Schizosaccharomyces pombe: one gene and its partners. The gene in region 4 interacts genetically with the main gene of each other region. Each region holds a gene or a part of one and is shown on either strand. Other genes may lie near its edges. The genes, in order: gpa2, tom70, mph1 and sck2.

What was found.
Region 1: mutations in sck2 (region 4) and gpa2 together harm fitness more than expected from each alone (negative genetic interaction), as found in Schizosaccharomyces pombe (2 studies listed by BioGRID).
Region 2: mutations in sck2 (region 4) and tom70 together harm fitness less than expected from each alone (positive genetic interaction), as found in Schizosaccharomyces pombe (2 studies listed by BioGRID).
Region 3: mutations in sck2 (region 4) and mph1 together harm fitness more than expected from each alone (negative genetic interaction), as found in Schizosaccharomyces pombe (2 studies listed by BioGRID).

Annotation. Positions count from the first base shown.
Region 1 is NC_003424.3:2,515,141-2,521,382, forward strand, and holds gpa2 (heterotrimeric G protein alpha-2 subunit Gpa2), read right to left. Parts: upstream 4,100-6,242; 5' UTR 3,176-4,099; coding exon 3,055-3,175; intron 2,892-3,054; exon of another isoform or gene 2,650-2,891; coding exon 1,706-2,649; 3' UTR 913-1,705; downstream 1-912. Other genes in the region: SPOM_SPAC23H3.12C (hydrogen/potassium transport protein), read right to left, coding at 53-733. UniProt on the Schizosaccharomyces pombe protein: Alpha subunit of the heterotrimeric guanine nucleotide-binding protein (G protein) involved in glucose-induced cAMP signaling.
Region 2 is NC_003424.3:2,431,068-2,436,472, reverse strand, and holds tom70 (TOM complex subunit Tom70), read right to left. Parts: upstream 3,094-5,405; 5' UTR 3,082-3,093; coding exon 1,204-3,081; 3' UTR 850-1,203; downstream 1-849. Other genes in the region: SPOM_SPAC6B12.13 (protein phosphatase inhibitor), read right to left, coding at 1-6, 232-424; drc1 (DNA replication preinitiation complex assembly protein), read right to left, coding at 4,366-4,616, 4,657-5,289, 5,346-5,405.
Region 3 is NC_003423.3:371,297-377,250, reverse strand, and holds mph1 (dual-specificity protein kinase Mph1), read right to left. Parts: upstream 3,458-5,954; 5' UTR 3,363-3,457; coding exon 1,326-3,362; 3' UTR 959-1,325; downstream 1-958. Other genes in the region: srx1 (sulfiredoxin), read left to right, coding at 415-789; F-box protein Pof13, read right to left, coding at 3,702-4,892. UniProt on the Schizosaccharomyces pombe protein: Involved in mitotic spindle assembly checkpoint signaling, a process that delays anaphase until chromosomes are bioriented on the spindle, and in the repair of incorrect mitotic kinetochore-spindle microtubule attachments.
Region 4 is NC_003424.3:5,044,762-5,051,382, forward strand, and holds sck2 (serine/threonine protein kinase S6K family Sck2), read right to left. Parts: upstream 4,252-6,621; 5' UTR 3,757-4,251; coding exon 1,816-3,756; 3' UTR 855-1,815; downstream 1-854. Other genes in the region: Golgi-specific 1-phosphatidylinositol 4-kinase, type III-beta Pik1, read right to left, coding at 4,648-6,621. UniProt on the Schizosaccharomyces pombe protein: Protein kinase that is part of growth control pathway which is at least partially redundant with the cAMP pathway.

The DNA of each region.
Region 1 (6,242 bases), 2.5 Mb from region 4:
TCATTGATTTTATATGCAAAGGACTTCATAAAATAGAAGGAAAAAAATATTCTTATTTGATTATTTTTGATTTCCGTTGCTCCTGAGCAACGGCACGTTTGTAGCGGTCCACGAAATCCGGGTGGCCTATGAGAGCGTTTAATGGTGTAGCATCTCCATTTGTAAACAACTTCAATGCTTTTTCTAGTTTTTCACTTTCCTGCATTTGAATGTTTTCTATGCTCATTACCCGAGCTAATTGAATAGACCCTTGAATAGCACGAAAATTGCAGTATGCTCTATAACAAAGATAAAAACCCGGAATATTTGGTATTAGAGGTATGAGAATGAAAGGTATAGTCAATGGTAATCCAATAATATTACCAATAAGGTAATTTGTATGGGTCTTTTGTAATTGTTTGGACCGATTCAACTCAGCTAAAATAGTACTTGATTCCAAATTTGGAGGATGTTCAATATACAAAGTTTGGTGTAATTCTGTATCATTTAGCTTCTTAACAGGAGCAATCGCCCTTAAAAAATTTTCTTCATAAGGAGTTGCATGCAAAATTCGGTTTCCCAAAGACACAACCTTTTGTTTGGTATAGCTTTTTGAAGCACTCCAGGAGTCCCAATACTTGTAAATTCTGTTTATAATTTTGTCGTGAATAGTAACTTTTTTGGCAAGGTATTCAGAAGGATAACAATGTAAGAATACCCTTTGATTTGGCAAAGGAAGTGCAATAATTCTCATAATTAGTTAACGAATGTACTTAATTGTTTTTACAAAATAAATATTGAAATAAATAAACCTGCAGTAACACAAAGATGGGTGGATATACTAAAGTAGAAGCTAAAAGTGGGTAACGAATATCTATGTAGTAGTATTACTATCTAATTTAATCAAATTGATACGTATACAGAACAGTGCGGCTTTTTATTATACATGGCAGAAATACACGTGTTCAATAGCTTTTTTGATTAGTAAATTAATATATTAAAGAAAAGATACTGAAAGTCGGTAAAAAGTATCAGTCTCTGGTGCCAACAAAGAGAGACAACAATTTTGATGATTCAGTGAAATAGTCTATACAAGTAGTCTAACAATTAAAAACTAAATACTAAAACAAAAGCGATTAAATCATGTATCCACTCAAAGTCTCTTAGTACTCAAACGGATTTTCTACGACCCTCATAAATAGCAGCATTAAGTGATAGCAATAGTTCTGAAAGCAGAGATAGATGTTCGAATCAAAACTGGAGATCTACTTTCTCAATCTTAAGACTATGTTCAACAGAAAGTATTCAATAACTTTAAAAGCATTCGCCAGCAGCATCGTTTAAAGTAAAAAATTAAATGCAAATTGATATTCGCAAAAATGACAAAATATTTATATCAACTAGAACTGTATAACTTGGTCATCTTAAAGAGATTATTTAATAGCAATCTGTGAACGTTCTGAGACAACTGAAAAGGAGATCGATCCTTTTCCTTACAGACAAATCGGTGATTTCAGATTCCAGCAGCCAATGTATATATTGGAAAAATATTTTTAAAGAACATGTGTAATAAACTCCGGACAATATTAAAAAAAAAAAATAAACGAATGTAAAAGAAGCGATTCTTACAAGGAGGCTTCAGAACTCTCTAGACATATGCAGACAGTAAGAGGTCTTCTGTTAACATATGAATAATGGTAGGGTAAATTTTATCTTCAAATTAAAATTAAAACATTCCCGCTTCTTTCAGACTGTGTTGTAGAATTGTTTCCTTAACGGCAGAAAAGACAACCTTTATGTTAGATGTGTCTACAGCGGTGGTAATGTGAGGATATATATTATGCTTAGCCCGATTTATAGAAGGGTTCACAAATAACCAAAGAATATACCGGGTAATACTTTTAACAGAATTTTTACCTTCATATTGGGGGAAGTAATCCTGGAACGGAACATGTTCCAGTTTCTTCCGAAACAAATCAAATTTGTTCAAAAACAGAATGATAGAAGAATGCATAAACCACTGACTGTTTATAATAGAGTCGAATAAAGAAATACTTTCAACCAAACGATTGCGTTCTGGGGCGGCTCTTTCATAAAGCTTTTTATCATAATCATTTAAGGAAACACAAAATATGATTGAATTCACATTTTCAAAACAATAAATCCATTTCCTTCGTTCGGTTCTTTGACCACCAACGTCGAACATTCGAATTTGCAAATGATCCAATGTGAACGATATTTCCGAAATACCCAGAGTACTATTTCTAGACCGGAGAATGTCATCTATTGTAGGGACATAATGCCGACTGCAAATTTCATCGGCTCGCGAAAAAAAGTAAGGGGCAGAGTCAATGAGTACGGAATCATTTCCATATGTACAGGATCTAACACTATTGGCTGACCAAAGACTAGTAATAGCTTGGCCAATATTAGCATTAATAAGCTCACCAGGAGTTGGATTAAATTTTTCGATTATCTCGCAATTGTGGGTTCCTAAAGGGTCCAAGTTGATACCTTTTTGAACGATAATTTTAACAAGGGTTTTAGCAGATTCCAACAGGTTTCGTCGGATCACCGGAATAAATGTCATAATCTCTTCTTGACTAAACCCATTTTTGTTGAGAATTTTGATTTGCTTACTGATGGTACTTTTTCCACTATCGGAGGCACCTAGAAAACAATGGTTAGACTGACGATTGTAAGAAACAAAGGAAGGAAAATTTGCTATAGGAATCAAACAAAAAATCTGTGCTATGCAATGGAGAGAAACGGTAAGAGTGTAGAGCAACTGATTACAACATGCAACGACGACGAAAAGTGGTTAACTAGAAGAACGTTATCAAAGTCACCTTCACTGACTGAGTATTGAAGGGAAAGGGTAACCAAGAGTAGAGAACGTAGACGCAATTAGACAAACCATTTTCTGTCATTTCTTAAACAGTTTCTCTGTTTCGTAAATAGTTTCACTCATTTCGTTTCTTTATTTTTTTTCTCAATCTTTTCTGCTTTTTTGCTCGACTGCCCAAGCATATATAACTATTGAACAACAACAACAACATTGAGTAGTTTACGTACCTAAAAGCAACACTTTGTAAATCTTTTTATCCTTCTTCGAGGCATTTTCAATCTGCTTTTCGATTTTGCTGTTCAATTTTTTTGATTCACCGCTTTCAGATAATCCATTAAAAATCGTCATTTTTTTTTAATCCACTACTGCAGAATATAAATACGGGGATGTAGTAGGACACCAAACTTCTCAATCCGACAGCTAGCGGGTTTTTGGGATAAGATGGGAGAAATAAATATGAAACAAAGTAAGAAGGTTAAACGCAGGTAGGTAAGGTGTAGCAGCAGAGAGGCGAGGACTTTCCAAGAAAAGCCTTCAATCCAGTTCTTTTCCCAATTAAAGCAAAGATTAAATAATAAAATGGAAAGAGAGCAAGTTAGAAAGAAAAGTGAAACGCAAATAAATAAAAGTATTAAAAAAAAAGTTGAGGTAGCAAGTATGATTAAGTAGGAACAAGGGTGCGGGTGTCAAAAGGGGATATTACAGAATAGGAATCAATAATCAAAATATTGATTAGTCAGTCACTAAACTATACGCGCAAAGTTTGATTAACCCCCTTTATGGGCGACCTTTAAATCGCAATTTCAACTTTTTTTTGAGTTTCACCAGATGCCTCGAAAAGCAGGGGGTGGAGGAGAATGAGGAAGGATCGCAGGTCGGAAGCTAGCCGGCTAGCTAATTGACACAGTGAGTACGAGTGAATACCAAGGTTGATTAAGGCAAGAAGAAAAGGCTGAAATCAGTTGAAGAGATGCAGCGACAAATGAGAAACTCGTGAAAATTGATTTCTCGTCGTCTTTCGATGAACGAGAAAAAAATTAAGAATTGTACAAGGAAGAAAGAAGAATTAGAGGCAAAATATCTCAATTCTTACTACTGTCCAACTAACCGAGTGTACAATTAAATCCTTACTTTCAATTCACACTACCCTAAATCCAACAAGCAGCAGCAAAAGGGCAAGCGTTTTGATGCTTCAAACAGCTTAAGTAGCTAACAACTATGGTTAGATTGGTACCTGAGCGGTGATTTCGTCTATACTATTTCGAAAAAGACAGACGGCAACTCTGGTATAATTTGTATTTATGAGGCACTACGTCATGCATCATCCATTTACGATTTTAATTTTTCGAGTGGGGTAGAGAGGACAGTTCGGAAAATGTAACATTGGAAAAGGATCCAACACATACCACCAAACAAGCATCATTCAAGTAAAGAAGATTGGAGTGTAAGTCTTACTCTTCGATTATGACCTTGGGCGAGGGGAGCAGGCAGTAAGCTGAGACCTGTGTGAGCTTTGCATTCTATGTAAGTATCGCATAGAGAAGCGCCGCTCATCAAAATAGTTTTTTATGTTTTATGTTTATATGTCATTAACTGGTTGGTCCAGCATTTCTATACTACTAAACTATACTGCTCTATTACTACTCTAGTAACTCAATGAGTCGTCCCTTGTTTATGGCTGAAGATGCAAGCAATCGGGATAGCAAAGATGACCAAAGGAAGTGTTCCAAAAAACGCGCAATCTTTCCAAGCAATGTTTAATGAGTGTTTTCCCAATCTGAGTTTGTTCACTTTCATAATATTTTAAATTTTCAAGCCCCAATTTTACCAAGTTCAATTCCAGTTACGGAGACTTATTTACTCAGATATGAAAGTAAAGTGCACAAGGGATAAGGCAACTAACTTGATCGCAAAGCGTGGGCAGCTATCACAAAGCTAGAAAGAAACATATAAAAAATCCATAGACGATTGGGTACCAAGATGAAGCAAAGCATGTTTTCGCAACTGACCAGTTTTACCTGACAGTCGGAAAATTTTTCAGCTGTATAAAAAAAAGAAGACATGGGGACTTGCAAACAATCTAGAAAAAAGGGATTTTTGCGTATCTAGAACAAATGTTAAACATGAAATGGGGTCTTGAAACTGAATACAGCGAACTAGACATGCTTTTCGCCCCTCCCCCGCTTGGTCCATGAAAACATTACTAAGTATACCCTGCTACCATAACTCCTCTCCTATTTCTCATTGCTCGATAAATAGCACAAAGCAGCTTGACACTACAAACTACATTTCAACGCAAAAAAAATAAGGAGGACTTTGTTAAACTGCTCATCGTTCCTAATTTCATTCGGTTCCTTAAATTTAATGGGTAAGAATGGTAAGATATCCTGATGCCGTTACTTGCTGGTTACTTAGTCTTGGAGGTTCGGGAAGGACTGCATTTGCCCCGCTAAAATAAAATAATCTTCAGGTGAGATAGAATTAGCTAGGTTTCGTAATGTTTATGTGGTACTGAAGTCAATCCGTTGTTGTTCGTTCATTTATTCATTACATACTAATAAAAGCATGTACTAGTTATAAAAAAAAGTCTTCCAAGATATTCACATGTAGTGGGAGGGTTTTTATATTGTTTTGTTTTTTGATGGTTTTTTTTTTTTTATAAAGATGAAATTCTTATTTGCGTAAGTTTAATTTTTGCTTGATTATAGGTATCCTTGACAATTATTGAATATGTATCTTATATCTCTTATATATGTGTATCTTATATATCTTGCATATCTTGATATATCCCGATATATTGTGGAAACTAGTTTGCCGGATCTGTTTCATGTTGGTTTTAGGGCAATAATTTGAATTATGAGCAAGATGCGCTTCCCAGTTTAAAATAAAACTATGTTAATTTAATTCAAAAAATTATTATAAGAAAATAATTGAATAAATCAATCATTAGCTAAGTCAATATTAGAAGACAACGGAAAAAATATAGAGTAATCTTGTTTTTTCCTAATTTTTTTCTTTTGCCAGTTGGTTGAGAATATGTCCAATATCTATATTTACAGTGTGCAAAAAAGTGGATCATGAACAACCGACTTTCTGATTTTCTAATCTATTGTGAAAACGATGAAAGAAACTGTTTTTCCAGCTACTGTTCTTTCGCTGTGGCTTTTATTTCTTTTCAAGAGTTTTAGCTTTCTTATTTTTTGTTGTAAGCGTATAACCCAATGCTTACTCTCGTCCATAACCGCGTAACCGTATAACCTTCGACTTGATGACTACTACTTCTTATAACGAAGCTGTTGGCTTATCCAAAGGCCGTACGAAAATAAATAAAAAATCATCTTATAATTCCAAAAATTAGAAAATCTTCAAAAATTTATGCTTTTACCTCATATGCTCTTCCCAATAGTCTTCTAAT
Region 2 (5,405 bases), 2.6 Mb from region 4:
AGCACACTAGTAATATTTAGCATCACATCATGTTAAATCCTTTAATTTTCTATGTTCGTGTATCAAGCCTCTAGTGCTTTGATAAATCAAAGATAAAGAATGTAGATATGTATAAATAGACTCATACTGTCCAATTTTTAAAATCAATATAAGTCTGAAAGTTGTGCTTGTTGCCAAAGGATGGAACAAGGCCTATTCTCTTCTTCGTAAAATCACCAGAACTTCACTTACCTTTCGATTTCTTTTTATTCATATGCTCATTATCTACAGTGCTTACCGTCCATCTAACTCTTCTGACTGGTTCCGGTTGTAAATGGAGCACATTCTCAGATTCTTCATGGCTTATTGACGCGGATTCCTCCGTACTTTCAATGGTAACTGTAGCTGATGAGGAGATATCACCTAACGGTCTTGTGAGTTCCATGGGAATTGTCAAGATTACGTTGAGTGATAAAACACGAAGTTCACTGTTTTATAAGTGAACCTTCAGTTTCGTTAACCAACTCTTCCTCTCAAGCAATTGCTTCAAGAAAAACAATTTTAGTGTAATTATTATAAAATTCCTCTGTTGTTTGAAAGACGATGGCGAAGAGTGGTGTGCACTTCAAGATGCTTGCTATTCTCTAATAGGATATTCTTCTATTCCTTTTTCTTCACTATATAAGATTGTGAGAAATCGTTACTGCGTTATATCTCCCTTAGGTTACATCTCCCTTGATGACGAAACCAAATATTGTTTTCCTAAAAACCTTCAGCTGCCTATTTCAACTTATTTGGTAAAGAGAATTAATAGACACCTACCATTTTATATTAAATTAGAGTCCTAAATTATGATAACATTCTGTAATGGTTGAATCTCAATGGGTATAATATTTCATTGCTATTGCTGTCGTTAATAAATACACTACCTACTAAACATGAAGTACAAAGAAATAATAAGTTCACATTTTAGGGAGTAGCGAACAAAATATCATTATTGCTAACCCTAAGAATCAAGTTAAAATCAAAAATCCGTCAACCAGAATACATTAGCAAACATGTTCCGTATACAAAACTTCGTTTGGTTTAAGGATTTTCAGCACTTGCTGTCATCCAAACAAAAAATTTCCGAGCCACATTAAAATTGGAACCTTTTTAAAGCATTCAAAATGTTTTCGCCAACTGCTTATTTTGACTAACAGTAATTCTCATATACAATCTCGTTTACATAGGATTGCTTAAACGACCAACCAACTGTGGGTACTTTTCAGTCAAGGCAATTTGCGTACGAGTAGCCTCAGCATATGAAAACGCATTCACCATTTCACTTTCAGTACGAGCCAGTTGTGCAGATTTCTCGAAATATTCAAGGGCTTCACGAGCTTTACCTTGTTGCAATAGGAATTGAGCCATACTGGCAATTGCAATATCACATTCGGGATCAGCCGATAGAGCCTGTCGACAAAGATTTTCAGCTTGAGATATATCTTTCTTCCATTGGAATACAGCAAGAGCCTTATTAATCAAAGGCATTGCACTCATAATTGTTAGATGTTCTCTCTTCTCAAGCTCAATTGCATGATCAAAGTTCTTGACAGCATCATCGAACTTTTGTTGATCTAAGAGTATTTCACCAAAGTAATTATAAACTTCGCTTGAATTAGGGAACCTCTTTTTACAATCTTCAAATGTCTTCATTGATTCCGCAATTGCATGAGTCTTATATTGAGCTACTCCAAGTTGGATATGGCTATAAATAAAAGAGTCATCCAATGCAATAGACTTTTGATAATCAGAAATGGCTTCTGCAAACTCACCAGAAACAAACCTAACTTGTGCACGATGATAATAAAGATCCGAATCGGTTTTATCAACAGATTCTGCATCATTCAGTACCTTCCACATTTTTTCATTATCATTTTCATCTAAATAAGCGGCTGAGAGACGAATATATGGTTGAATGAACTTGCGATCTAATTTAATAGCTGCATTAAAATTTTCCATCGAACCTTTAGAGTCACCAGATACAAATTTAAAAGTACCAACTAGATTATGAGTGCGAGCATTAACCGAAGGAGATGAGAAAGATCCCAGACAGGATTCCTTTGCTTTATCGTACGAAAGTTGATATTCACCCTTTTCTAAATATTCATAAGCCTCTGCTAAAGCAGCATCACCGTCAAATTTATTATCAAACAAAGGTTTTGGTTGAGCATGGAATGAATCGAGATAAGTCTGGATAAAGCTGGCAGCTGGCAATTTAGGAGGACGTTCCTTTAAAAGAGCAGACGACTTCTTTTCAGCAACCTTTTTTAACAATCGTTCAACGGTAGCAGTCATACTCTCATTAGCGAAGCCATCGAAAATGCAGGAAACGGTACTATCCATAAGGGCTTCATCCAATTTACCAAGTTGCTCATAAGCAGCAGAACGACGATTTAACGCTTTCACATAGCTTGAATCAAGTGAAAGAGCTTCACTTGTATCCTTAATTACTTGCTCAAAATCACCGATGGCTGCATAACAGGCTGCACGATTAGAGAAGAAAATAGGGTCATGAGAGCAGGTGATAGCCTGAGTATAATAGTCAATAGCATTAGCATATTCCTTTTGTCCATAAGCCTTATTACCAAGAGTCTTTAACTCGGCAGCCAATTTTGCCCTTTCCTCCTTCGTCATAGATTTTACCGATTCCTCAGTAGCAATTTTATCGACAGAAGAATCGCCGACCTTCTTGGCTTTAACCTTTTTTTTATTCTTCTTCTTCTTTTTTGCAGCAGCAGCAGCAGCGGCTGCTGTTTCAACATCCTTTCCAGTTTCTGAGCTTTTAAGATCCTCTTCTTTTACGACCTTTGCAGCTTCATTTTTTCCTTCATTAACTTTGGATTCAGCCTTATCTTGATGAGCCTTAAGTTTTTTAGAACGTTTATGACTAGCTTTTTTCTGTTGTACATGATAAACACCCCCAACTGTAGCAAAAACGGCAACAGCACCAATAGTGTAAACAAATGTCCTATGGCGCCTTACAAATGCTGAAACGGAATTTAAAACTCCAGAAGACACAATTGCCTTACCATTTTCTGCATTGGATATACCAGACATGGTATTGGTTTTGGCTAGGTTGGTACCGATTCATGACCACTATACTTCAGCAAAGTGAATGCTACCTTATTGCATTGCTAACGAACTGCAAAGCACATTCATTGACAAAGGTTAAGGAACTAAAACTTGATTACGAAGTGATAGAAAACAAAAAAAGAAACGGTGAACAGCAGTTTAATAGGAGCTATTATTATGAAATGGTGATAATTTGCACAGGTGCTAGTTTTATTAATTCTACTCAATTCCGCATCAAGTAGGAATTTAAAAAAAACTGCTCCAGCAGTGACTTGAACACTGGGCCTCTTGCTTACTAGGCAAGCGCTCTACCACTGAGCTACAAGAGCTGATGTTATCCCCGTATAAAATACAATATATAGAGAGCGTAGTAAAGAAGTTTACCTTAAACAATGAAACGTATTGACTGTATTTGTTAATTACACAATGCACTTCTTTTGGATTCTGATTATCTAGAGCCCTTTTATTTGTCTTTAAAAAGATTTGTTAACTTGATTGTAGGTTGAACTATGTTTTGAATACAATTGAAGAGTTGCGACCAAAATCTATTACAGTTGTTGCCTGTATCTTATAAGCTATCTATTATTTAAAGCATGGTTTCTTAAGTTGTAAATGACATTTGGAAATGACTATTCATGTTTTGAAGTTTAGCATCAACGTATGGTGTTTAGGTTGTCTAAAAATTTAGTTAAGAGGAAATTTGGCATCGCTGTCCCCTAAGGATGAATAAGCTATGCAAATCCATGTAAAGTAATGATGATATTCAGCTTTCATGTATTCCTCATTTCAATAGATCCAAACTTATTTGAAGCTGTTTTTTTATTTGTCTTTCTCGCCAGCTTCAATATTGAAGGTTCGATTTTTTTTGTACTTCTTCTTTCCTTACGTCCTCATGATATTCGTATATCAAAACGTTCCAGTCTTAGATTTAATGTTGGACGAATGCCTACGTAAAAATATAAAACGTTTATCGTTCGATAGTAACTAATTTGATTTTACCCGAAGATTAAGAACAAGAAATATATGATTCATTCAAACTTTTATATTTCCAAAATTTTTTTAACAGGATACCACAAACTCATGATGTATTATTTCATTTAAATCTCAAAAACCCACAAAATCTATTTCCAGGTTTTATTGAATGCATGATTTATTAAATATATATACCTCTTTAACATTCATTGAAAAAGTGTATATCCTATTAAGGAAGATCAGAAAGTATGTGTTTTTTTAAATACAACAGCAAAGTTCCGATTGACAAATTATATGTTAGCTTCTGTGACGCCGAAATTTACGTTTTTTTAATTTGTAAGAGGAATAATTCTGGCTTACTTGTTTTCCAATAACAAGCCCGTTTCTCATAATCTTTTTATTTTGTCGTTCACTCTGCAGATCTAAAAATGGTGACGAATCTTTGCTAGCAGTTGTATCTTCATTGTCGTCAATGCCATTTTCCGCATCTTCGTCTATTTCAGGAAGACCTTCTAAATGACTTTTGGAAAGATTCATTGAAGGGGGCACTAAAACGTTAGTTCAGGTACAAACAGGAGAAAACCTTACATTTAACAAGACGATTTTGTCGTTTAATTTTTTTCTTCATAGGTTGTGATATGTCTCTATCTACAAGGCTTTCTGAAGATGAGCTACTAAAGCTTTCAAACTCCTGCAATATCTTCTCTTCATTTGATCCGTAATCATCTTCAATATCTTTTAACTCACGAAGCATTTCACTGAGACTTTTTCGGCATGGCGCATTAACTCGAAGTAAGTTAGGAGATGTATAAACTTGAAGGCGATATGAAGAGGGGGTTTCAAGAACGGTGGGAGTATGTTGAGCCACAGGTTCGGGATTTTTTGATGGAGTAGTCGGTATCATAGTTGATGAAATTTCACTAGTGTTATGTTTTATATCCGAAATTTGATCCACATGAGAATCTGCAATGGGAGACATGTCTTCAAGAAGGTTAAGTACTCGACGTGACAACTGTGGAGTAGGACCTAAAAGACTTTTATCCACAGTTTTCGGAGTAACCTGTAGATAATCATTTCGGGGCGCTTTAGGACTCTCGTTCGCTTCAGTTTCAGCACGCTGTTTTGTAGGAGTTTGAAACTTAAAGTCGACCTTTGTTTTTGCTTTTTTAGGGGTAATGGAGGATTCGCGTTTCAACTCGTAGTATTGCTTATATAAAAGCGCTAAAAAAGTTCGTTAGTTTGCTTCAAAAATTCAAGTGTATCTTTGGCTTACATACCTATTTCTGGTTGTTTCTTCACATCCTCCTTAGAAGGTTTGCAATTGTTCGTATGGACGT
Region 3 (5,954 bases), on a different chromosome or scaffold from region 4:
TGCAATAGTGTTTTATTGCCATCTACATTTAATGAATAAGCTACTCCAACTACCTTACTAAGAACACAAACCCAGACCTCGTAACGTAACCACGTTGCTTTGTCCTAGTCGGTTTAACGTGTTTCGCTAACATGCTGACAAATTTTTACATAAGATTTTAAGTATCGATTCATCTTTGATAATGATGTCATATTTGTAAATTATTATATACATACCGGGATAAGATAGGTTGTGGGGCAGATCATTAGTACAACAGGAAACGATATCAGATCAAGGAGTAAATATACTCGATATCAATATCCACTTTTCCATTCTTATTAACTTGCCTTTTTTTATAATTTTCTGTTCTATTTATAAAAATTTCTGTTCACTTTATCTTTTTTATATTCTTTCTTTCATTCATTTTTAACCATCATGACTTCGATTCACACTGGCTCAAATAACAACATTGTTGAGCTTGATATGTCTGAGTTAATTCGTCCTATACCTCCTGTTTTAGATATGAACAAAGTCAATAGTATGATGGAAACCATGACAGGGAAAACTCCTCCAGCTTCATGCGGTTTGACTTCAGAAGATTTGGAAGCTGGTGAGCTTCCTCCTGTTGATGTTTTAACGTTTAAAAAGAGTGGGAAGCCTTATTATTTTGCCTTTGGGGGCTGTCATCGACTACGTGCTCACGATGAAGCAGGGCGCAAAAAGGTTCGCTGCAAATTGGTAAATTGCTCCCCTAACACTCTACGCCTGTATCTGGGTGCTTCTGCCAATAAATTTTTGGATAGTGATTAGATTTAACTTAGATTTTTTCACAAGTTTTTTTAGGATTATCGATATTCCATTGAACCTGTTTTATTCCCTTCCTGCACCAACATTTATGGCGTTAATAATCATCTCTACCGGCGGTACATTATTTTTAAAGGTTTTTGTTTTACATTAGTTATGGGGTTTTTTTTTAATGTCTAATATAACCCAATTATATTAAAAAAGTTTCTTATAAAAAAGCATCATTCATTTGGTTGCTTTACCTAAAAAAAACAAACACAAAAAGGTATTATATCGTAAACAAACAACTTATAGCGTTTGGGAGTATAGCGTTCTTTATATTTACATAGTATCAAAGTATAGATATCAGGGGCCATATAATATGTGGTTCATTAATCAAGGTCATAATTACCTTCTTTTAAAAGAGCGAAAAATTAAAGATTAAAAAAAAAAAGCCTTTAAGCTCCCTAAAAAAGTCGTTAACATTAAGAAACTCGTATGATGTTTGGGAAACTTTGTAAAAGATAAAACCTTTTTAAGAATAATCGGAAAATTTAGTGCCTCTATTCTGGCATTTTTCGTAAATTGCTAACGCAATCATAAGCCATGCTATCAATAAGTTCCTTATTTAATCGCTTGTGCTTACTCAACTCCACCGACCTTTCTATAATCATTGATAATTGAGAAGCTGAGATTTCTGTGCTGAGTCTAAGTGGATGAGCATTATTGGTGTGCCCAGAAACAGGTAACGGCTTTTTGGCCAAAGGTGTCAAATAGGATGGCAAAGGGTTTAAAAAGGGATGAACCAGCAATTCCGGTATTGTAAGTCTCTTCCGTTGATCCCTTTCCAGGCATCTTTTCATAACATCCATTAGATCAGGCCCGACAGTTACACCTGGCAACGATCCCTCTTTCTCCTGGACAGCATTAGCAGGTAAGGCAACTTCGGGGAAATGAATGTGATATTGTTCATTAGGGATAGCTGCTATAGCTTGGATCATTTTTAGATGAGCAAACGGGGCCCTCCCATACACCATCTGATATAATATACATCCCAAACTCCACACGTCGCTGGGCCTGCCCAACTTTACGAGTTTCACGCCAGAGTTTGTGTGAGCATTCATGTCTGTCAAAGCTTCAGGTGCCATATAATTAATAGTACCGATGTGGGAATCACGATGGATATTAGTGGTGTCATTACCAATTGCTTTGGCAATGCCAAAATCAATCAGCTTCAAATTCCCTTCTACAAGCAGGAAATTGGCCGGCTTCAAATCCGAATGCACTATATTTTGATCATGAACTACCTGGACCGCCTCTAGCATTTGCTCCCAATACATTCTGATGAAATTAAGATTAATGGGTTTCTTCATGTTTTTCATTAAAAGGTTTGCTAAATCCGTTTCTCCGCATTCCATCACCATATTGAGTTGCCCTAAAGTATCATTAACTTCGGCAGCATATAATTTAATTATGCGATCATTGCCTGAAAGCTTTCTTAATAATGCAATTTCGTTCTTGTATCCTTGTATAGTAGTTTGGTCTGCATTAATAAAGTTCACCTCTTTCAAAGCGTATAAACGACTGTTATCGGGGGAAAATATGCGATATACCATACTACTTCCACCCTTTCCAACAACTCCTAATTTGATAAATTGTAGATTGGCAACAGTAACAACGTCCTGCTGACGCTTGGGTATGGGAGTAGCTTGACTGTTATCAAATAACGGAGCCACCTTTGGAGAAAGAGCATGAGATTCATATGGTTGAGAAGCAGAACGCTGAGGCTCTTGGAAAACGGTGACTGGACGAGAATGAAGTTCACTAGCTCTTCTTTCAACATCGTGATCAAACTGCACCCTAGGAGAAAAAGAGCTCTCAAACTGAGAAGGATGAAAAGAAGGTTTGGGATGCTCCTGGGATGTTTGCAAAGGAGTGTTATGCAGCTGCAGAGGTTTTAAAGTTGTTGCAGCAACAGAGTTGGAAGCTGGTGATACTTCTCGAGATTTCATTTCAATATCCTCATCTGCTTCTGTAGAGTTTTTGGTATCGGAAGTCTTCGAGGGATCCGTCAACGTGTACTCAGCACGCTTTGGAGGGCCTAATCCAATTCTGCCGATTCTTCGTCGTCTTGAAATTGATAAAGAACCGGGGGTTTTGTTTACACTTTTAGGTAACAAATCATGCTCCGAATTAGAATTGAGATCATTCACTCCTGCACTGAGTGAAACTTCACTGTGAGACGCATTAGTAGAGGGCAAGGGTGTTATTAAATGCTCGAAATGGTGCATTGACTGATATGCTGGAGTATTCACTTCCTTCAAAGCAGAATTTTGTCCTCCATTTCCTTGCAAATCAAAATTTTTAGTACGAGGATGTGAGACCAATCTCTCTAAAGCAGTTGCACCGCTTGACTGCCTACGCAACGTATCCCCAGTAACGGTGCCATCAGAATGGCTACTCTTGGAAGAGAAAGTGTCATTTTTGAAGTATAATTCTGGATCCTGAAGCTCTTCGAGAAAAGAAAGCGAGTCTTCATCTAAGGAAGAATCTGACACCAAGTCCGCGATATTAGTCACAGGAGGATTGCGCTTAGACATAAACACAGTTACTAAAAAACGAGCATTCCAAACCGAATTTCCAACTGTTTGTTAAGCGTTAATCAATAAATTTTTACTTCGTTATAAGAATAGCTAGAAAAGACGAACAGCAGAGCAACCATTAGTGTGCACATTTCAAAATGTTATGTTACTACAAAGATCACCCTCTAACGCAATGCTAGCTACTTCAGTGTATATCATTATTTTACGAGTTTCGCATGGTTATGAAAACGAAAATTCTGAGTAAGAATGGCATAAGATCATTATTAGACTAGTCATGAAAGAAAAAGAAGAGTTGTGAAAGTAAAAAGTTTTTTCACCTAGGTCGCCTTGCCCTTACTATATCTGTGATTGAGGCCATTTCCATCCAGCCGCTAACAGCTTCCTGCGAATCTTTTTGTGGTGAATATGGTTCTGCTCTTGGAATTGGAACAAAAGACTTCTAGGACTGATCTGATGCCATTGGGCGGCCTTGATCTTATGGAAACAAGAGTCTTCTCTTTCAGGATAAACAACACCTAAAGTAGATATTACACGGTGTTGACGAGCAAATGCTTGTATTTGCAAATCAAAATCCAACGATATGCAGGAAGGACAGACAAATGAATCGCAAACCAAACAACTTCTTAAATCTATGCAATAACGACAAATCGGCTTCTTCCATTCCCTTAAGCAATAGATACAAGCAGGGACTTTTTGCAAAGAAAAAAGATCGGCAAGCTCAGTTTCCTGACCTGCAATTTTGCATGCATTCAAAGGGCAACGTGAAATATCGCATTCGACTGGGTTACCATGAGTAGTTGGTAAAGCGTCTAAAGCATTTTGAAATAAAATTACTCGACTATGCCAATTGCTTGTTAATGTGTCATCCTCAGAGCCATCAAGCAAAACAGGTTTTAGTAATTCTAATCCTTTAACACCAAGGACGTATAGATTTTCCAATGAAAATGTCCTGCTTTTAGAATTTTGTAGAAACTCAATGAGAGATAGAGAGCAAACACCAACACACCATCTTATACTCAAGGTTTTAACGGTAGGAATGTTCAGCAAGATATTCGTTACACTAGAAATGGTAACACCTGTTCCGTCTAAAGCAATGGTCTGAAGTCCCTGGAATTTGGCAAGCATTGACCAGACAAATGAATCGCGAAGTTGGAGTTTTAAAATTGGTGGGTTTCCGTAGAGATCAACTTCAGTAGCCCATTCTAAATCACTGGCAACAGGAACTGTACGTTGATAAGGTTGTAAATTAAGAAAATTGTTATTAAAACAGCATTCATCGACAGCTGATTTACGAAGCCAATAGTAAAACTGCCTACTTGAATGCATCAGGCGTAATATATCGAATGCATCAAGATAATTAATGATCAAGGACCATATGTCTCTGTTCAAGAGAAATAAATTGGAATTTTTTAACACAGGTTGAATTGGATCTTCCTCATGATTCCGGTTTGACAAAGAAAGGGTTGTGAGAGCTTCAGCTGTAAAATCCACTTCGCACTGATTACTCGACCAATGTGTCGGCCTCATAAAGTCCCGAAATACTTTATAAATTGTTATTTACACAATTTCTTTTAAGATAATGCAATTTTCGTAGCTTGTTTGCGATTCAGCAACTCTTTTGCTAACGATTTTTTCAAAAGAGAACAATTTATGCCGAGGAATGTTAAGAAACGTAAAGAATGTGTTTTTTTAGATTCAAAGATTCCGTTTTCTTGGTTGGAGATAATCTTATTCGGGAAAAATCAATAATGAACCTCGTGATAATTATAATTGACAAATACTTTTTGTTTTCAAGTGTTGACGTTAATGAGCTCCTGTTGATATATATAAAACAAGAAATTCTCTAATATAGTCCCAAAAAAAATCCCAAAATCATAGAATTGGGGAAGTGGTTTATTTTTTCAACGAAATGGAGTAGGTTAGGGTGTTTTAGGAAAAGAGGATTGCTAACAACATCTTCATTCTCTAGAATTATTCCCAAACTCAACTGTTATATTGATTAAAATAAATTCTTTTAAAGACAAGAATGCGTTTTGCTTTGACTTGCTGATTGCTGTAGCTATTCACACTTAAAGGCGCATTGGGTTTCTTGACATTGGAGAGCTTCTGAATTAAACAGAAAGAATAGTTTAGTTTTTTTTACTACAAAAAAAAGCTTAAGGGACTATACAGGCACATGAGATTGAACAGACAAAGTTGTTGTATCGCTAAATATTCAGACGACTGACACTGCTGATTCGTGCAATATGTTCGTTCGAAAGAGATTCATTTCTCAAAATGTTTTGACAGTTCTTCTATATTGCTTGATGACCTTAGTGCTATTAGTTTATTGGCAAAGAGTCTGTGAAGTATAATTGCAAAGACTCAAACCGAACTAATCTTTGCAATTTGAGTATCCCGTAGCGTTAGCTTTTCATTTTAGTCAACTCTTTATCTCGGAATGTCATTCTCGAATCTTTGAGCCTGATAGTCGAACCGTATTGAAGACTTATAAAATGACTGTTCGCTTGGAATATGAATATGTAAAGAATATTCTCCAACATGAGTGGAGTAATATTTCCTATAAAAAAATTAATGAGAGTGCCCTTT
Region 4 (6,621 bases):
ATGCGAGCTTCTACTTAAGCTGCGTTTTGCGAATTCCAAATATGCCTTATCTAATTTATGATATATCGTTAGGTTGCGTTATTTAATGAAATACCATCTCGGTGAAGTTTCGAGTGAATGGTCTCGGACGCAATCTTAGGAACCTATTAATAATAAATTTTATCTTCAATTTTTGTTAACTCATATCGCTTCTTTATCAAAGGCGTGTCTACGCCAAAAAAAATAAATACATAATATTACCGAGGTTAATTGCTTTTAAAAACACAATCCCTCTATGCATATGCAGTTTACTGGATTGCAATAGGATACATAGACGCACGATCTTAAAAGGTATTTTACAGTATTCACGATATTTGAGCTTTTGAAAAAACGATCCCGCCAGGAGTCGAACCTGGAATCTCTTGATCCGTAGTCAAGCGCCTTAACCATTGGGCCACGAGACCTTGTTATCATTACAAATAAAATATACTATTTATTATACAAGTGTGTTTTACTTAGTCAAATTGAATAAGTCTAGTATTACAAAACAAGAAGAGTCTTTAGTTTTCAAGTGATTTTTGAGAAAATGTAATTGTTTTTTTTTTTTTCCTTTTTTTATTAAATTTTATCTATTTTTCGTACTTACCGATATTTTTTACTTCGTTTTAAATTTTTTAGTTTAGTTATTTACCTTTTCTCCATCAAGACCATACATGATAACAATATTATGTGTACCATAAGTTAAAGAATATTTATTATAATTACTTTTTTTAATAAAATGAATGTACAGGTTATTTTTTTACATATTTAGTTTTTATAAACATTATATCGAATATTTGTGGCAAAGACCCACAAGACAAATGAATGAAGAGAATCACAAGTAAAATAAAAATCGATAAACTGGTTTCCAAAACCATAGTTAAAAAATTTTTATGTCATTATCGTTATATCTAAAACAAATTATCGTATACGACAGTATCCAAATACATCTTCATCTGAAGATCTATTACAAAACGACCCTCAAGGAGGGCATCAATAATACTGCTATTGTACTTTGTCTTTTCTTTTTTTTAAATTCCTTTGCGTTTAAAAGAATATGTCTTTAACTAGATTCTAACATACACCATTATACATTCGTAAAACTGAACTTCAACCTAACTGAATAAACGTCTATCCAGCAAAAGAGAAAAATAAAAAAAAAATAAGGAGAGGAACAAAATCGAAGACATTACAATTGGAGATAGAATAGCCTTAAGCAAGATGACAATTACTTAGTAAAGCAAAATACCTTACTACTAATGTCAGCCAATTCAACGAATTTTGGAATTGTGTAATTACCACTGTACACAATTAAGTCATAGTTCGGAACCAAAAAAACTAAGCACAATTTGTTCCAAAATTAGTTGATTCAACGCCATACAAGCCCAACATTACACCAAAAAAGCCTGGTGAACGTAGATTAAAATATAGAAATAATAGATCCTTTGATCATTAAGTATTCCCTTAATATGCACCGAAAAAAAATGAACTTCACCCGAACCTGCTTCCACATAAACAGGCATCTTAATAACAATCCTAAAAAATCATTCTTAGAAGGGAAATAAAAAAAAATTAAAACGATACGCTTCAATGATTAAGCGCTGATTAAATTAAAACATTATTTACCTGTCCTTCAAAATACATGTTGAAATTTTGCTGGACAACTAGTAAATAAGAAAATAGTACAACGATTGAAAGCGTGTACAAAAAGATACTCTCGGGTTCAGGGATCCAGCCTAGAAAAAATATGGGCATAAGATTCTCAATGCAGTGATACATTCGTGGAGACCAAACGTATTATGGATCTATTTGTCCCATAAATACCTCATCGTTCGCACGATTTAAGTCCATATCGGAATTGTCCTTAGAATAATCATCTTGACTGGAAATACTAGAAGCAGAATCATTTGAGTTGTGGTATCCGAATGCTTCATCCATAGCACTTGCGTCAATATAGGTAAAACCCTTAAACCCATTTTGGACAGTTGATGATAAAGGTGCAGAGGTCGACATTTCATCTGTGCTACTAAAGTCTCTATCGATTGCTTTATTTGTAAACTCGACATCAAAATTAGAAACATCTATTTCACCTTCCACTATTGGTTTAAATGGTGGACTAATTTCTTTCGCAGCGAGTTTCTTCCAATCAATTCCATCAAAAAATGGATGCTTCATTACCTCTTCAACATCCCCATGTGCACCAAGCCTATGCTTTGGATTACGATTCAATAATAGCTTAATCAAATCTCTGGCTTCTACAGATAGCAACCCTCTAGGAAAACGGACTTTACCAAACACGATATTCTTGTAAAGTTGTTGTGTGTTATCAGCGTAGAAAGGGCTCCAGCCACATGTCATCTCGTACAAAAGTACCCCTAAAGACCAGAAGTCAACCATCATATCATACCCTGCTTCGTCTAAAATAACCTCAGGAGCTAGATAATCCGTGGTACCGCAAAACGTACGTGTAGTAGTCCCCACTGAAAGATTGGCCTTTGACAAACCGAAATCACATAAGGCAATATGTCCTTGAACGTCCAAAAGAATGTTTTCAGGTTTCAAATCCCGATATACAATTCCTCGTTTATGCAACGCTTGCAAAGCAAGCAACAATTCGGCAATATAGAATTTTGCCCTTTCTTCTGGAAATCGTACCGATTTTTGAAGGTGCCAAAATAATTCGCCTCCAGCCATATAATCTGTCACCAAATATAAATCTTTGGGGGTCTGAAAAGAGAAACGTAAAGCAACGATGAAGGGCGAATCAGCTGCAGAAGTTTGGACGAGAATGTCTCTTTCCCCAACAGTGTGTGCAACTTCTTTGCGACGGACTATTACTTTTTTGGAAAGTACTTTCATTGCGTATACGCGCTCGGTGTCTTTTTTACGAACAAGATAGACTTGACCAAATGTACCTTTTCCAATTAATTTCAACGGAACGAAGTCATCAGGGCCGTAGGAGTGTTGACTGAGAGGCTGGAAAACAGTATTGAGAGAAAGACGAAGATCAACCATACGGTTGTATGCGGGAGAAACTTCAACGCTGTTGCAAAACTGTTCAAATTGACCATAATTATAAGACGGGTGAATGTAAGTTCTCCCAACAAATTCATTATTATTACCATGGTCATAAATATTAACATCGATGGGGACCGGTTTAGCAACATCAAATACAACATAAGATGGAGTTAAGGGATTTGGAATTGAAGACGTACGTTGAATTGCAGGAGTAGGAATGGGATGAGAGCTCATCATAGATGAACTCCTACTCACATTAGCAGAATCCCGACTAGATGTGCCTATATCACGGCCAGGTGATTCCCATTTCAATGGAGGTGAAACAAACTCCGTCGTACCAAATTGAACAACAACAAACAACTGATTAAGTCTTGAGCATTCCATGGCTAATGCTGCATCAGTATGAGGTCCTCCCAAAACTAATGAACCTATTTGAAGTTTCAAATAGCCTGAAGGTTCATGGTCAACTTCAGGTAATATATCATTACTATTTCTGTTACCAACCGTAGACTGGTCACTGGCGAATTCTTCCATGGGATGGTCTATCGAGGAAGGACCTAAATTTGAAACTGAAGGAAGTGAACCACCTTCACCTTCCTCAACTGGTTGATTGGTTTGGATGCTTGCCAAAGGACTTCGGGGAAGTGACCCTTTAGCAGAATTGGTGGAAACCGATTTTTTAGACAGCCCGAACCAATTTTTTGCCCACTTATTCATCATTTTATAATCACTCAAAAAACCAATTTATGTACGATTATTGTAAAAGAAAATACGAACACAAAATGTCACTGTTGGATTAATTGCTTGTAGATGCAAAAAGGGATTTTCTTTCTTTCAAGCAAGAAGAGGTATGAAAATGAATTCAAAAGGTACTTGTTTGACTGATATAATCACGACTTAATACCTGCATAAAATTTAATGATGTAAAGTCTCAAGTAATAATTCACCTCAGTTGGATATAATCCTGATAAGAAAAACTATTAATCAACACTAAAATTTTCCTACCAAATTTCTTTGTTATATCACGAATACTGTAATCAATATGAAGATACCCCATTAACCAATGTCAACTACAATATTGTGCAAAGAAACAACCCCTAGTAGAAGAAGGAACAAAGGATTATAACACAAAATTATAAATGAAAAGAAAAAAATTCCAAGTTCTAATATACAATTACTGTTTGCGCCTAATTTTTCAATTTGATGGTAAAGGGTAAATTGAAGTGGGTTGCAGTACCTAATCTTACTTTAAAATTTGGTATGTCAATATACGGAAGTGCGAAAGGATTCTTTAACCCGGATTTAACTACGCCAAATTGTTTGCTAACTTAGAAATGCAGTTAATTTAGACAGTATGCTTTAATAGTATATTATAATTGCAAGGGTTTCTAGTGGGTATGATAAATCATATAGATCACATAAAATATTTTTAATGCATTAATATAGCTAATCTAGCTAACAAAAAAATTACCAAATTTACGAACCATGGTGAATGTGGTGATTTTAATACAATATTGAAAGTTAAAAAAGCCAACCAGCAGTATGGTTCAAGTGTGGAAGCTCCGTAGCTGTATTCGAAAAAAATGAAAAGAGAAAACGAATAGCCACTTACTAGTAAATTCCGTTCGTAATATTTTGAAACAGATCATAAAGTCTCGTCCAAACACTACAATTTGCCTTTTGAATCAACAAATCCACAAAGTCATCACATTCTTTGTCACCAAGCTGTAGTTGAAAACGTTGCAAAAGTTGTGCACTTGTGTTTTCACCAGCACGAAAGCAAGGCATTGTGGAATTATTTTGCATAACTTCAACAAGCAAAATGATCTGATCAGCGTTTTTTCGAACAGATTTAAACGCAGCTTTCATCAAGGAACGATATTCATCAAACCGGTCGTCAAGGATTTCTAAATAATCCGCCGTAAGCTTAAATGGAGCGCTTTCAAAGCCAACATTCCCCGGTGTATTCGTAAGTAAAAAGCCAAAATCAATATGTATAATATGACCTTCACTATCAATAAGAACGTTACCATTATGTCTATCCTTTAACTGTAGTAAGTATGATATAATGCTATATGCCACTAATGATTGAAGGAAATTTGTCTGTGCCTGTCGATACCGGCTGCTGTTGGGATCACCAAACTGCTTTATAAAATAATCCTTCAATGTAACAACATTTTTACCAGCAATTTTTCCTTGGGCTAGTTCAGCTTCCCGAAGCTGTTTCGTCAAATTCTTTTTAATAGAGTGAACACTAATGGCATTTGTAATCGTTTCTATTAAGCCACTATTGTCGCCGGTCACTAAAATTTTCATCCTTCGAACCCAAACCTTTTCTTTACACTCTAGCCAAACACGCTGAAACGCGTATATAAGTTGACAGGCAAATGTCTCTTGCCGGAGATCCGCACCCGTTTTAACAATCACACTGACCAAATCCCAATTGGGATAATGACCATAAGGAGAAGACTTTCTTATCCTTTCCTTCTTGGCATACCAATCTTCTTGGAATGTAGCGGCACTGGGATCATCTCTATCACCTTTCCGTTCTGCCTTTTGAGTTTCTTTGCCAAATCGCAGATCTTCTGCGCATGATATGTCGACTGAAACAGGATAAATGGATGGTTCATTAAGGCGCTCTTCTTCGAGTCTTTGCATGTCAAGAATAATGCTATTTTTTATTCGTTCAGTCTCAGCTTTGGGACGTCTGCTACCTTCAGCATCAAGCTGACTTAGCATAGTTGCCGCAGCTCGCATTCTCGCTGTTATTTCTGAAGCATAGATTTTACTTCTTTTTAAGGCGCCATTTCCATCAGAATCAGAGTGGCGCCCAGATAACAGGACGACATCGGTATCTCTATGAGAGGACGGTACCTGCAAAGATACATTACCAAACGAAGAGAATGACTTACTCAAAGAAAGAGTGTCCGGTACCAACCCTTTTATCAGAGGAGACATACTTAAATCCCCTCCCTCACTTTCCGACTCTGAAATATCATTGTCGGTACTGTCTTGAAGGTTCGTATAAGGATCGACATCTGTGAGGTCAAACCACCTTTTTCTTTGGTTTTTATGAGAGACAATCTTTTGCACCTTAGCCTTATTTTTCTTCGATTGTGGCTCGAAGCTGAGTTCACCAGATAGGACCTCAACCATAATAAGATAAGGTACTCGTTCGGCAGAATTGAGTATGGTAGCCTCTTTAGGATCAATGCGAACGATTTTATGACTCACTTCTTTATGATATGATCGTAAAAGCGGTATGTTCACATCGGCTGGAAGGTTGTTATTTAAAAGAGCAAGTTCGGCGCGTAATGAAGAAAGGCGAGCTTGTCTAGGTACAATGATGAGACGGATAGATATATCTTGTAAAGCAAAAAGAAATTGAATTTCTTGTTGAAAATAATTAGAGCGTAGAACACGACGCTGTTCGTCAATAGATAATGTAGCTGATGATTGATATGAATGGGTGCGGGTTAGTTCTGGAGCTTTTAGTCTAAGGGATACTTCGGAATGTTGCTCGACAATAGAGTTGTTCAAAGACGAACGTAATACGTCCAGAGAATATCGAGGTTCGGTGGAAAG